Schizosaccharomyces pombe: one gene and its partners. The gene in region 1 interacts genetically with each later gene. Each region holds a gene or a part of one and is shown on either strand. Other genes may lie near its edges.

The links.
Region 2: mutations in uve1 (region 1) and mus81 impair growth when combined (synthetic growth defect), as found in Schizosaccharomyces pombe (2 studies listed by BioGRID, with this or other methods).
Region 3: of uve1 (region 1) and rhp26, changing one enhances a phenotype caused by changing the other (phenotypic enhancement), as found in Schizosaccharomyces pombe (3 studies listed by BioGRID).

The regions. Positions count from the first base shown.
Region 1 is NC_003423.3:2,837,072-2,841,540, forward strand, and holds uve1 (endonuclease Uve1), read right to left. Parts: upstream 2,515-4,469; coding exon 715-2,514; 3' UTR 501-714; downstream 1-500. Other genes in the region: tRNA methyltransferase Ppm2, read right to left, coding at 1-312; integral nuclear inner membrane protein Bqt4, read left to right, coding at 3,786-3,826, 3,864-3,895, 3,935-4,034, 4,097-4,150, 4,197-4,469. UniProt on the Schizosaccharomyces pombe protein: Endonuclease for the repair of UV-irradiated DNA. Involved in the excision of cyclobutane pyrimidine dimers (CPD) and 6-4 pyrimidine pyrimidones (6-4PP) which forms the UV damage repair (UVDR) pathway. Also functions in oxidative damage repair in vivo.
Region 2 is NC_003421.2:461,056-465,214, reverse strand, and holds mus81 (Holliday junction resolvase subunit Mus81), read right to left. Parts: upstream 2,496-4,159; coding exon 2,400-2,495; exon of another isoform or gene 2,391-2,399; intron 2,234-2,390; exon of another isoform or gene 2,232-2,233; coding exon 501-2,231; downstream 1-500. Other genes in the region: coq5 (C-methytransferase), read right to left, coding at 86-278; mrpl4 (mitochondrial 54S ribosomal protein uL29m), read right to left, coding at 2,830-3,264; PHD finger domain-containing protein Phf1, read right to left, coding at 3,713-4,159.
Region 3 is NC_003421.2:1,178,432-1,184,635, forward strand, and holds rhp26 (SNF2 family helicase Rhp26 ), read right to left. Parts: upstream 4,208-6,204; 5' UTR 4,127-4,207; coding exon 1,205-4,126; 3' UTR 501-1,204; downstream 1-500. Other genes in the region: thiosulfate sulfurtransferase Tum1, read right to left, coding at 1-58, 116-394; THO complex subunit Tho1, read left to right, coding at 4,365-4,559, 4,619-5,509, 5,565-6,204. UniProt on the Schizosaccharomyces pombe protein: Involved in transcription-coupled repair (TCR).

The DNA of each region.
Region 1 (4,469 bases):
ACTTAAAAGTTGAAAGGCTAAGGGGTCGTATCCTGCACCTAAATTCACTATTGCCTTTCTTTTGCCGGTTTTATTCTTCAAAAACTGGTACACTGCAAATCGAATAGCCATGCATCGTGTCCAATAACCTCTATTTACGCTTGGCGATCTTCTAGGTGATTTCTGTATAAACGGTTGATAATAAGAATGTCCTACGGTAAAACCTGGATATCCACATTTTTCAACTGAGGCTTTTGAAAGAATTGAGCTGTCATTGGTTTTACGAACTTCTCTATCTTTTGACTTAGTTTTCCTTTGATTTTTGTTTGACATTGTATATGAATAAAGAGAAGCTCATTTAATCTTTCGAAGCCTTGAGAATTTTTGCAGTTAAGTTACACAAGCTTACGAAGATTAGTGGAAAGGAATTATAATATTGATCAGAAAACGACAATACCAATATGACCGGAATTGCTTAAAGTTTTACATAATTCGTGTAAATCGTAAATTACTAGTTTAAATTTTATATTTAATTGAAATGTTTTATTGAAATTTGATTGTAAATAAAACAATAACTTTTAGATTAAATATTAGCATGGACAGTAAGCAAATAAGAAAATAAATAGTACTCTAGTGAATTTTTTCGGAAATATCTAGAGCCAAAAAGACAAAAATGATTGCATTGAAAATGCAGATGGCTAAATTATGCCATAAATCAAAAAGTATGACGGATTTTTATTTTTCATCCTCTTCTACTTCTTCTTTTCTACTACGCCTTTTTCTTGCAGTTAAACGCTTTTCAGCTCCGGGCGGATAATATCCATCTCGAGTTTGATCGTATTCAGGCCCCATAATTTCAAGAGGACATGGTGGATTTTGTAACTCATAACGTCTACACAATTCAAATACAGCCTGTTCCTTTTCCTTAGCTTCTATCATTAGATCCATTGTAGGATCACACGGTGGAAAGTCAAACACCCTATCAGAGTGAGCACGTCGTTTCATCCCAGAAATCGCCGTTGGATCAGCCGATTCTGAGTAATGTTGCTTCTGTGTAATTCCCTTTCTTGTCCAGGTTTCTCGAATAGTTGGGATTAATGGCATTAAATCTAAACTTCCTTCACGAAGCGTTCCTGGCACTATGTTGTGATGATGCCAATCCAAAACTAGAGGAATATTAAGTTCTTGGCATAAAGGTAATAAATCTTGAACTGACCAAGAAACATCATCGTTTTCTAAAACTAAACGAGCTTTAACCGAATCAGACAAGCGTTGATAATTTTTACGAAACCTATCCAATGTTTCTTTTTTTCCTTCAAAGGTACCACCAAGGTGAATAATTAAAACAGCGTCTTTATTTAATTGTTCATTCAACTTCATACGACTGAGAATTTCATCATGATAAGCCAAATCACGTATTGCCGAATCAACTACGACTTCTCGTGGAGAGGCTATCTGGGTGTACTGACCAGGATGCATAGTCAATCGATGATTATATTTATTTGCCAGCTTGCCCACCTCCTCGAGATGAGATTGTGCAAATTCAAGGGTATATCCATACTTTGCATGGCTTGCGAAAGGAAATAAATCAGAACTCACTCTCATGAAGTGAATGCCAAAGTTGTGATTCCACTCAACCAATTTGATTAAATCTAAAACATTTTGCGTACCTAGCTGCTTGACACTTTCGAGCCCATCACGTTGAATGGTTGTAATTCGGCAGGTGCGTGAACAAAAAACCCTCTCCTTCATTGACCTTAAAATAGTATTCAAACAAGCATACCCCAATCGTCCTCGCCAGGGTATGGGTTTGTCCAAACAATCAAACATCTCTCGTGGAGCATGATCATCAAGATTCATTGTAGATTCTTTTTCTAAATTTTTTGCAGAAGAACGAGACCGTCTTCGTTTAGAAATTGGAGTTTCCAACTGTTCCGGCACAACCGGTTCGAACTCGTCAGAGCTACTTTCATTTTTAAGAGACTTTTCGTCGACTTCTTCAACATACTCCTCTTCCTCTTTTTGTTTAACTTTTTTAGTAGCTTTACTAATTTGCTCCTCCGATTCGGATTCTGACGAGGAATTGTAGTTGACCGGTTTTTTTGATCTCGACGATCGCCTAAGATGAGTTGAAGAATCATAGGACGCAACAGACTCATCAATTTTATCGGAAACAGAATCTGTCGCTTTCTTTTTACTGCTACGTGCCCTCTTTCGTGTAGACGTAGAAGTACTTTTTTTGTGAGGTCCACTGATATTAGCTAACTCAGTCTCATTTTCTTTTTTTAAGTCGACTGGTGTTTCGGCAGAGAATGAATTCGCACCGATATTAACTTGCGGTAACATTGAGAGTGTGGTTTTTGAGCTCATTGGAAGTAAACTTTTAAGGGTATCGGGTAAACAATGAAAACGAGAGTAAGTAATGGTACAAACCGACGGTACACAAGGATGATTACCTTTAAATGCCTTTTGTTTTAATATGGTGAAAACAATGCGTTTAGAGATTTGAATATTTCGTTTCAATAGCCTAAGCATTAAAAAATGAAAACGATTTTAGTATCAATATGACATTATTTAGAAGGAAATAAGCCCTTCGCAAACTTGCTTATATCCCTACAACTATTATCTTGTAAGTGAAAAGAGATATCGACAAGAAGTGATTGAGACTCAATACTAGTCAAAATCAACGAGTGTGAAGACAAATCTTCTTTCATTCCCAGTAAACCAAAAATGGTTTTGTATCATTGTTACGTCAAAATTCGCTATGATTTTATTGGAAGGCCATGAGATTACTGATGCTCAAGGGATTCAACTTTTGACAGTTATTGTTCAGTGTAGATAGGACTGCTTTTACGAGGAAATTTTGGTTTCTCAAATCGAGCTTAGTTTAGCAATACAATGTTAAGTAAAAAGATTGTGTTGCTTTCTCTTTAATAATTGCAGATTCAGTTGAACAATCAAAAAAACAGCAGATAGGAAAAAACATTTGAAATGAAAATTTGGCCAAGTCAAGGAGTCGCGACAATTTATTTTACCATCTGTAGCATATGTGTGTATGGGAAGCAGAAGTAGGCGGATTCGGGTCATTTATATTGTATTATGAACCGTCTTAATGCTGCTTTCTGCTGACATGGACATCTTTAAAAATATACAAACAATTACCGTGTAATTCACAATAGATTTAATACCATCAGCATTAATGAGTTGGTTGAGAAGCCATCATTGCGAAATCGCAATGTAGGTAGAGTAAACGAAGCGAATTGTTTACGATAAAATACAGTATATCTTTAGAACCGTAGATAGCTGCATCAGCGAAACGATTGGTTTTTTCTGCAAATACTATTACAACCAGTAGCATGAAGAACGCTTCTTACTGCCGCATCGTTTTTGCCGACCTGGCTGATCGATTGACAAAACAAACTTCTAGCAGAAATAAATGATCAGCGCTTCTTATATTTAACATTTGGCAGCGTGCTGCCCGCGTGTGAATATTTTCCTTAAGTTTGTATCCCAACAGAAAAGCGTAAAAAATTGGAACCACATTGAATCTTCAAATAAACAATATTAACATTACATTTCAGCATAAGCATCGACTATACATGACCTCGAGGTGTTTAAAGAATTAGTAATTCTTGCTTTGCACATAGTTTATAACGAAGTACGTCCTAGCATCACTCGATATTATCATTTAAGGTAGCACCACTATTGCTCTATACAATCAGCTATTACATAAACGTTGTAAGAGAGGAATTATACAAACGTCGACGACGGCGATTAATTGTTACCTTTCCCCTTAATTGAATACCATGACTGAGAATGAGAAAAGCAGGTCTTTACCTGCTGAAAGGTTCGTATATTTAAAGAAAACGACTAATTGATATTAGAAACCCTCTCTATAAAGACGATACACTTGACCGTACGCGCTTCCCGAAATTACGTGAAACTAATATAGCAGATACACCATTAATCCCAAAGTGTCGCGCTCAGGTAATAGAATTTCCTGATGGACCAGCTACTTTTGTTCGTCTCAAGTGTACAAATCCGGAATCTAAAGTGTAATTATCTTTTTTTTGCAGTGTTGTTTTTGGAAAAATACTAATGATGTATATAAATATAGACCTCACTTTCTTATGAGGATGGCAAAGGATTCAAGCATTAGTGCTACGTCAATGTAAGCGTTTTTTCATATCTTTTTCTAAAAATCTAAACCCGATTAGGTTTCGTTCAGCTTTCCCTAAGGCTACCCAAGAAGAAGAAGACTTGGAAATGAGATGGATTCGTGATAATTTAAACCCAATTGAAGACAAACGTGTTGCTGGACTATGGGTGCCTCCTGCAGATGCCTTGGCTCTTGCCAAAGACTACAGCATGACCCCGTTTATTAACGCCTTGTTAGAGGCATCCTCCACTCCTTCAACTTATGCGACTCCTTCACGCCCCACTGCGCAGAAATCAGAGACATCTGAGGGGGAACCTGAATCTTCGACATC
Region 2 (4,159 bases), on another chromosome or scaffold:
AATTTCTTCAGTAAATGCAAAATGCAAAATGTTATGATTTACAATCAAATCACATGTCCTAGCAAACCAGTTCTTCCATACATACCAAGGTGCTCTTTTTCATCTTCCGGAACGTCTTTAAATCCAAAATGAGTCATGTGGCTTGAGGTATCAGTATCTTTCGAGCTAGTACTGGTATAGCGACAATTAGACAATCGAGAGCCAGCCAAAGCTGTAGACCTGATTCCTTTCAATCCATCAGCTAAAAATTTAGCAACAGGAGCTCTTAAACGTGACATGATACAGCAGTTTCAAAAACGAATACCAAGTGTAACGGTTTTGTTTATGGATAGTGCTAGGTAGAAACTCACGATTTGAAGGGAATCTGATGCTACCTATATACCGCAATACACTAACATACGCAATTTCCGATGGTAAAGCAAAGGTAAATTAAATATATGGGAAATGATAAGAAAATTGAATAAATATTATGAATCATAAATAAATAAAAGTTCAAAGGCTCAAGATTCTGGAAAGAAAACGCTTGCGACCTTGGCGGAAAGTGCTGGCCCTATTGTTTGAAAACCATAGCCTTGACAAGTCTTATTCAGTAATAAGTTTCTTTCCTGGCTAGATGATGACTTTTCGTACGCCTCAAATAAATGCATGAATGTTGGATATTTCTTCTGAATCTCGATGGCTTTTGAAGCACTTATACCTTTTATAGTCATAAGCATTCGAATAAAAATATCCCCCACGGTCAAAGTAGAAGACTTCGAGAGGACAGAGGAAAATGCATGGTATGATATGTGGTAAGGAGTTGAGGGATCAATTTTTAGAAGTTGCTCTCGTAACGACTCATAAGTTTTGGCTTCTATCGACAAATCGGGAATGACAGCGAGGGTTTTACGTTTCTCATAAAACAGGTTAATTTGCTTTGTCATTTCAGCAAGCAAACTTACGCTGTGTTCAAGTGATCGCGTATGACGGACATGAAATAATTGATCGACTTGGGTATTGCTAACAGCTGTACGAATTGATTCCGTGAAACTTTCATCATAAGAGGATTCCTCCAAAATGTAGGTGACTGAACGTATTCCGCTCTTCTTTAGACGTGCCTTTTGTTCGTGAAATCTTCCGTCCTTAATGGAAGCAACTAAATCATCATATCTTTTCCTTTCAACGACAAAATCCAACACAACTTCTTGACCGCTTTCCATATCCCTTGCAACCCATAAAGCATCTCCCAATTCTAATGATCGTACCTGACAATTGACACCAAAGTCATTAGTCAGTTTATCGATAATAAGATTGCGATCCAAGGGAGAACGTATTTCTCGAGTATCAATCAGAAGAAAAACCGTACAGTTTGAGAATAATACCGTCTCGATTTTTAAGTTAGACAAATTGCTTTCATTTGGTTGCTTTTTTTCTTGTTCCGTCAAGTCAATCAACTGCTCATTGTTAATGATATGGTGATCATGAATTCCGGTCAACGAATCCACCTGATCAACATCTATATCGGTTTCAACACCATCAGAAACTTCATTATGATCTACCGGACAGTAAGTAACATGTAGTTCACCTCCGTGGTCTGAAGAACTTCCTGCTTTATTGATTGATGTAACAAAATTTGGAGGTTGGCATAAAGAGGAATCATGATCATCGGATTTAGAGACAGAAAAGTTTGATACAGTATGTTTCCGTTGAAAGGAATCGTCTACTTTTGCCAAACGTATGCAAACTTCTTCACCATCGTCGGTCAAGCAGTACTTAGAGGGATGACCTGTCTGGTAAACTAAATTTTTTGTGATCAAAGTCTTCATAGCACTCCATGCAGTATAACGCATGTTTCGGTCTGTAGCAGATCCAAAGGACGAATCACAATACGGTTGGGCCATCGTAACAATTTGAGGCTTTGTAGCGAATTCGTGTTTATTAAGCATATAAAGAGCGCAAAGAATTGAATATGCACCAGAACGATAGCTCGGAACATAGACCTTTCTCTTTCTTGTAGTCGGTTTTTTAACGCTTCGAGGCTTTTCAGAAGAAGTCTCAGAAGACGATTTATTAGCATTGACATGAGAATCATTCTGTTCATTGTGCGTGCTAATTGGAATATTATTTTCCAAACAGTAAGCGTTCCATTTCTTTTCTAGCTTGGCACAAATCGTAGGGCCAATTCCCTTCAGTGCCAATGCCTGAGAAGGACGATGAAATGTGATGGGGCAACTTTTCATTGAATCGTAGGCCTAATTATTAGCACGGTTTCTTATTTAAAACAACAACAACAGTGATTGTTATGATATTTATGGAGTACGAAGCTATAAAAGCTTTCGAAAAATTACAGTCATTATTAATTTAATATTTAAATTATTTATTTTTCAAAGAGTTTTTCACTAATCCAATAAATTTCCTACCTTTCTCCAGGTTTGATATGACTTGGGGAAGCGACGCGTCGACTCTTCCATCCACTCCTGTATCCATTGTAAAAACAGCGGATTTCCACAATCCATGGATCCGAAAAACAAAGAAAAAAACTATTTCATTCAAATTATCGATTGTCACACGAAACAAAAGTCTAAACAAATGGATGTGGATAGAATGCGATTTCCTAAATTTCGTGTAAAGACATTAGCATGGTTGCCGGGACAACCGAGATTTTATGATCAGTATAAACAAAATAAAGAAAACAATTATAGGTGAACAAAATAAAAAATCATTATCATCATTATAAAACAGTTTCTCGTGTATTAGGGTATATTTTTAGAAAGTTTGTGAAATGATGAAGCTTTAGATCATAATAAAGCCATACTTGGATGATTTTCTGTTTTCCTAAAAGGAAGGGGTTTAAGAAGATCCCTTTTGTTTCTCGAGCTGCTTGGCAGAAGTATATGCTCTTTGGCGTTCCCATAGGACAAATTTGATAGCTGCCATGGTTTTATTGACTGCAAGTACACGCTCATTTGAGGCTTTGGGAATAGTCAACTGTAAGCGTTTCATTTCAGCCCTTTGTGTGAACAATAGGTTCTTCTCTCGGAGACAATTGTACCAAAGTCCATGTAGATCATTAAAAGACTTCCAACGAAGCTCTTCTGCAGCCCATGCTCTACCGAATTTAGCCTCTTCCGATGGTGGTGGAAGGGCTTGCTTGTCCCGAAAGAAATTCCACAAAGGGTGCGTGTCTGAAACCTTAGGAGCACTTTTTACTTTTGGAACAGGAAATACAAAGCCCTTTGGAATACGTACGGCTGCTTTCTGAGCGCTAGCCAACGTGGACCTCATCTTTGGTGGTAAGTAGAAGGTGCGCTGTAACACCCTGACATTGACCGATAATAATGGTTGTAAGTCATACTTTAAAAATAATTATTTTTTATTATACTTCATTGACTTTCTTAATTATTGCTAAATTGAGAAATTGTTCATTTCCTTATTTTATTTTATTTTAAGATTTCATGGCGAGGAAACATTCCAAACGAAAAGTTTATAATGTAAACAGAAAGTGTGTAGGGCGATTTATGTATTTTCCCTAGATTTGTTATCGAGTGAAAAGTTTGAATCCATGAAGGAAATACTAAAGTACTTTGATTTGCAGCTAATACATGGTGTAATGATACATTGCTTTCGACCGCTTATAAATTTATTTCGAGATTAACGGGACGCAACCGTTTAATTAAAAACGGGAAGTAAAGAAATTTTTTTTGTCTATACATTTAGAAAAATTTGTTCAGTTTCATAAAACAGTAGCACATAAATTTTGAGGATCATCGGTGGGGAAAGAGACAGGCACCAATTTAGGTACCTTACGGTTTCGTTGAAAAGTAGGAAGTAAAGAGGGTTGGAGGTGAGGGTATTCTTCGACTGTTGCTATTTGATAGATGCTACCGGAACGGACCAGTTGACCTTTATTTACCATCCAACGAATGGCCTCGGAAGCGCTGTCGTGAAAAGTTGGTAACAATGGTACGTTTTGAGCAAGCCAGTTAAATATTTCATCTTTGGAAGGTGAGAGGGTGTTACGAATAGCTAACCGTATTAACGTTGGATAGTCGTATAAGGTTCCAGAATTCGCAACATAACTTGCGGTATAGGGGACAGGTGCAGGCTCATCAGAGGGAGCTTCATCTTGTTTAGCATGAAGTCGCTCTTGTAAAGATATTTGTTGGCGTTCAGAACTAAC
Region 3 (6,204 bases), on another chromosome or scaffold:
TCCAGAAAACCCTAGGAGACGAAAAAAACCCTTTTCGGTCATAAATGATAACATTGGTCTAAAATATTAGTAAAATTGAAGACTAAGTAATTGGAATTTCTAAACTACTACTTACGTTTCTGTCAATTCCTAATTTTCCAACGTAAGAGGCGAATTCGTCAGCTGGAGGAAGCATATGAGGAAGGGGATTTTTGTGATCTTTAGCCTCATCTATATCAAAGTATTGAGCACCTGGAAGACGACTTTCTAAATACTCCTTCTTTCCGTTTTTAGTGTCTGTTGGCAAGTACCAAGTAGCATCCAAGAGAACGGTTTTTTGAGCATTATCCTTTAATTTTTGCAATACGCCCTTAATAGGCAAAATAAAAGAGATTTTTTTACCAACAGAGAACATTGTTTGAAGCAGAGTCTTATTTTGTTTCAGCGAACTACATAGACTTCGAATTTCAAGTAATCTTACGAAAGTACAGCGTTGGTTGCAGCTCCCAAAATTAATTAACGAGTCAAGTTTTTGGTAAAACCAAATATGTGTGTAAAAATGGTTAGATGCGGTTGCATTGCTTATATACAAATATTAATTTATATAAAATGAAAAAGTACTAGTAATAAGTTCGCCAATAAGCACCAAGACATCAAAATTTTTGAACCACTAGTTTTCTAATTAAAAGGTCTTTTCTGACACTGTCAACAAACATGACTCTAGCATTCTAATAACGTTGACAAAAGAACGTAGTAATTTATAGCTACAAAAAGGGTTGCACGGGTTGCACATACCACTAACTAAGCCGCTTTGAGTGTTCATACTTTTCTCAGCCAACTAGAAAGTTATTAACGCTAATTTTAGGTCTCAGGTAAAGCGAATTTGTCAAGTGCTTGCTTACAATAACATTAACACACTTTAACCAAGTACTTTAACAAAAGGGAAAAATGATCAAAGTAATTCCGACAGCCCTATCCTCAACATGGAATTGACATTTCCAATACTTTTCAAGCAAAGTAAACCCACCTAGTAATAAGGATAATTCCCATTCAAAAAATGAAATGATCGCGTGTCTATCAATAAATCCATAAATAAAGCTTAAATCATGAAAAACTTAATGTACAAAATAAAGGGAAATAATAATAAATAAATAAATGGGTACAAGATTGGGTCCGAAATTTTAATGGATACAGCTTACTCTAAGGCGAACTTCTTCTAATTAATTCATCGTCTCTGTTTTAGTCGGGCAAGAAGAGTGCTTGAAGTAATCGGACCTGATGGTTTAGAAGTACCAGGAACATTAGTAGATTGCTGCGGAGGTATAAGTTGACGAGGAGGTCGCCGAAAAGATGAAACTGCACGCAGAGCTTCATTAGCAACACGCGTCGCTTCTTTTTCAACCAATATGCTTTCAGTCTGGGAGGCTTCCATGATATCGTCGTGCTTTAAAGTACTCTGAATACCAGCACTAGCAAAAATATCATCAAGGACGGAATCATCCCCTAAAGTCGAATCAGAGTTTGTCTTAGTAACATTTGACTCTTGCGGTGGTTTATACTTTTCCATCGATGCAATCCCCATTTTTTCAAACACTTTGGAGCTGTTAACTTTTTTACCTTTGTCGTGAATTTTGTGCTTTTTTCGGTCACGAGCTGGAATATCTTCAGCTTCATTGCCATTTCTTGAGGAATTATCCTTTCGAAGTACTCGTTCAGATCCCAAAAACATGCTGCCTGTCTCAGTGCCCTCAGTCTTGTTATCGCCTAACGTAAACAAATCGTGCAAGTCCGTCATTTTAAAAAACCTTCTTTGTTTTGGATCTTTCAAAATTTTGTTAGTCAGAAACTGCTTAAAGATTTGACGATGATAAATTTTTTCTTCAATAGTTCCAGCAGTCATCAACCGATAAACTACTACATCTTTCTTTTGGCCCAGTCTCCAAGCACGTTCACGTGCTTGAGCATCCGTTGAGGGATTCCAATCAGGATCAAAAAGAATTACCCTGTCAGCACCAGTCAAATTGACTCCTAATCCACCAACACGAGTAGTTAGAAGAAACACATCAAAATACTCATTTTTATTAAAGTTGTCCACCAAATCTTGTCTTAAAGCAATAGATGTGCTACCATCCATGCGACAGTAATGAACATCCGGCAAATCCTTTAATCCTATTTCCAGTATGTCGAGCATTTGGCGAGTCTGAGAAAATAGAAGAGTTCTATGTCCTTGTTTTTTCCACAAAGTTAGTAATGCTCTAATAACCTTCAGTTTGCCAGACTTTTCAGGATCACCATAGTTGTAATCTTCTTTATGTAACAAGTACTCTCGAGTTACAAGATCTGGATGATTACAAATTTTTCGTAGTATATCAATTCCATAAAGCATTTGACGCTTTCCGTTCAAGATCTTTTGCATATCAGAGCCTTGCAAAAAATCTTGGTAAGCTTTCCTTTGTAAAGGAGTCAGCTTACAGAACAATACTTGTTCGGACTTCTTAGGTAAATCTGCAGCAACGTCAAGCTTCATTCTTCTAAGTAAATAAGGAGAAATTAAATCTCGAAGCATGCAGGCGCATTTATAAGCGGTTTGCACTTGAACATTTGAAGCATTGGCATAACCACCAATATTAATAGGTAAGGCAAATTGATTTTGAAATACCGGTAATGTACCCAATCTTCCAGGAAATACAAAATCAAATAAATTCCAAAGCTCGGTAAGGTTGTTCTGGATCGGAGTCCCTGAGAGGATAATCCTATTCACAGTACGGATTTGCTTACACGAAATAGATATTTCAGAATCTGGGTTTCGTATTTTGTGCCCTTCATCCAAAACACAATAACCCCATTCCCGTGGTAAAATCAAATCACCATATATCCTTAAACCAGCATATGTTGTAATTAAAATGTGGCCTCTAGTGAAGACACTTTCAACTAAGTTCTTAGCGTATCTGTGGAATGAACTTGAAGCACCTCTTAATTTTATGGAGGTTTTGCTTTCTTCCGCTTCACTTTCAGAAGCGTCAGATTCATACTGTCTCTTTTCGCGTGAAGCACGCTGTCCGCTGCCAGTAGCATGAAGAACAACAACACGTAATGGAGCCCACCATGTATGAAACTCATTAACCCACTGCTTCATTAAAGTCGCTGGACAAACGATAAGTGCAGGCTTTTGAAATTTGCCAGAGTGATGCAAAGACGAAAGGAAAGATACTATTTGAATAGTTTTTCCTAGTCCCATTTCATCACCAATGATTCCTCCGGCCTCTTGACAATAGAGTTCCCATAACCATTGTACGCAAGTGACTTGATAACGGAAAAGATGTGGGCGAATATCACCTGGGATGGTAAATCCACCCTCAAAAGTCTGTCCTTTTTTGGAAGGATGAGGTAGTAACCACTCATCTTTACCTTCAAACTCTCCTCTATCTTTATTGTTTTCAGATGCTGAGGCCTGATCTCGTAATTCCTTACGATTCGCACACCAAGCATTAAGCCTTTGTCGATATACCAAATCATCTCCATCATCTATAGCGGCAGTTACTACTTTCTCCGTAACAGCATCCACAGTTACGTACTCATCTTTTTCGTCTCTTGGAATAATCCCATGATCAATATTTGACGGCTCCGAACTCAAATGAGGTGCCGTTTCATAGTATGTTCCTTCAGACTTTATAACAGCCTCACGAATGCTAGATTCATCATCAAAATCAACTTCTTTTTGTAGTCCAGAGAGATTTCGAAACGGTGTAACCTTACCAGTACGGATGAGCTCTTGTCTTTCCAATTCTTCAGTCGAAAATGCACCTATACCAGGGGCATTTGCCGAATCTTCGTTATTAAGTCTTCTCTTAATATCATTTTCGTCTGATTGTAAACTTTGAAGAGTGTCTCGGAATTTAGATAATTGTTTGCGGAAGTTCTCCTTGACACTTATTTTTGTAAGTCGACTGTCTATACGCTCATCAAGGCGACGTATTTTTTCTTTTACAGAAGATATTTCTTTCCTGACTTTTTGAAGTCTCTTCTTTTCGATCTCTCGACTTTCATGTGCAATGTACTCACTAGCAGTATTCGTAACATCGCGTTCCAAATTCTCTTGGTCAACCGAAAAAACCCCTAAATGGGATAGATCTTCATTGACACTCATATCCTATCAATTTCTTAAATAAAGTCTCATTTTCAGACTCACTGCAAATTTAAGAAAATACTTTGTTGTTTGGTTAAGGGCAAAATTACATATTCCTTCATGCTGCTCCTGTTATAGCGAGAAGCAATGAACCACACAAAGCAATAACGAATAAATCCTTATTTCTAAATGACATTGTCAATGCTAGATAAACTCACGTTTCTGCGCGCGGATTGTATATTCGCAGACTTTTAAAGTAATGGAGGTGCAAAAGGGTTTAATTGAAGCTTTTTATAATACATATCCATTAGAAAAGGCAAAAGAACTGGATAAGAGTCCACTTTGTTCTGAATATGAATTATTCATCAAAGAATTATGGCCTTCGATTGTTGAGAGTTTTCATAACTCAACTGAGTTTGAAACGGCAATAAGATTTTGCTGTTATGAAACAGCAGTATGTGCTTTTTCCATAATGAAGTTTTCCTTAAGTTACTAATTGTTATTTTCGTGTAGCGCAAAAGTGAGATTGGATTGGAGGAGCGATTAAAATGTTTATTTGCGATTTTGGATCTCTTAGTAATAGGGAACGAAATTAACGAAAGCTTCTGTGATCACCTGTTGCCTTTTCTAATCTTGGAAGAGCTGATGGACATTCACACCGTCAACGAATGCGCCAAATTATATGAATATTTTGAAACCAGACCTAGCTTGATGAAAGGTATTGTCAGCAATCGTGGAAGAGGACCCGTTTTGCTTCGGATATCAAATGAATTACTCCGGCGTCTTTCTCGGCAAGAAAATTCATCTTTTTGTGGGCGGATCGATATTCTGCTAAGTAAGGCTTTCCCCCCTGAAGAACGGAGTGGAGCCAATTTACGTGGAGATTATAATACTGTTCATTCTTTTGGGAAGGTAGAACTGTCACCACCATCCACACCCATTTCGGACCGAACAGACCTCTCATATCACAAAAAACTTAATACCTTATTTACTGCTTATTGGGATTTGCAGTGTATGTGCTCCAACCCTCCTAAATTACTAGCAAGTGATACCTTACCTAAGTTTATAGATGCAGCTGGTTCTGCAATACAGGCATTCGAATCTATATTACAAAATACGTTCTTCAATGGGAAGTCAAACCCTACAATTGATCCAAACTCTAGCTCATTACTTTCTGAAAAATATATAACTTTGGATAAAGGATTTCCTTCTAAATATATATATTCTCGGTCGCTTTTTGAATACCAACTTTCAGATGAAGATTTCCGGTTACAGGCTATTTTACAATTAATTATTATTTTCGACTTTTTGCTTGACCATTCTAAAGAACGAATTGAAAGGAGAACTCTTGAAAAATGGACAAATAAGGCGGTAATTCCCATTGTTATTTTGTCTGACGAAGATGTATGTTCTTTTTTAGACTCGAAAAAAACTGATTTTATTGATTGCTAATATGTAGACCTCAAAGTTAAATGAATTATCCAAAGAAGCATATAGTTTCTTACATACTGCCCGGTGTGGTTCTGTGCAAAGAACCATTAAAGAAATTATACATATTGAGGGTAATTGGAAATTATGGAAAGGGCTTGGCTGCCCTTCCCTTGAAAAACCCCTAGTAGATAAAGCGGCTATTGATGAAGCTGTCGAAGGCTTAAAAAAGCTTACAAACACCCCAGTGAAATTAAGATTTGCTATGGGAAATGCTGCTTTGTCGAGGCTCTGGGAGCAGGCTGGAGAAAATACCCTTGATGATCTCAAAAAGGAGGAAAGGTACCGGATTCCATCACCTGAGAGCTTTTTATCTGGCGTTAAAGCAGACAAGTTTGAAATAGAAGAGGCAGTTAGAGATGATGACAAGCATTTCCATGAACAGTCCTTGGCAACGAAGACATGGCGTGCCTTTCGTTCAGCAATTAATAGCCATCTTCAAAACTTTTCGGATACCGGACTAGGTGATGTTGAATTGCTTTGTAATTCCATTGAGGGCAAACCGACTACATCGAAAATTACACCCTCTATTCCTCCAGCTTTTGATATTCATATTATAGAAGGAGAAGAGTTATTAGAGGAAATGAAAAAGAGGGAGAATGTCAAGCACA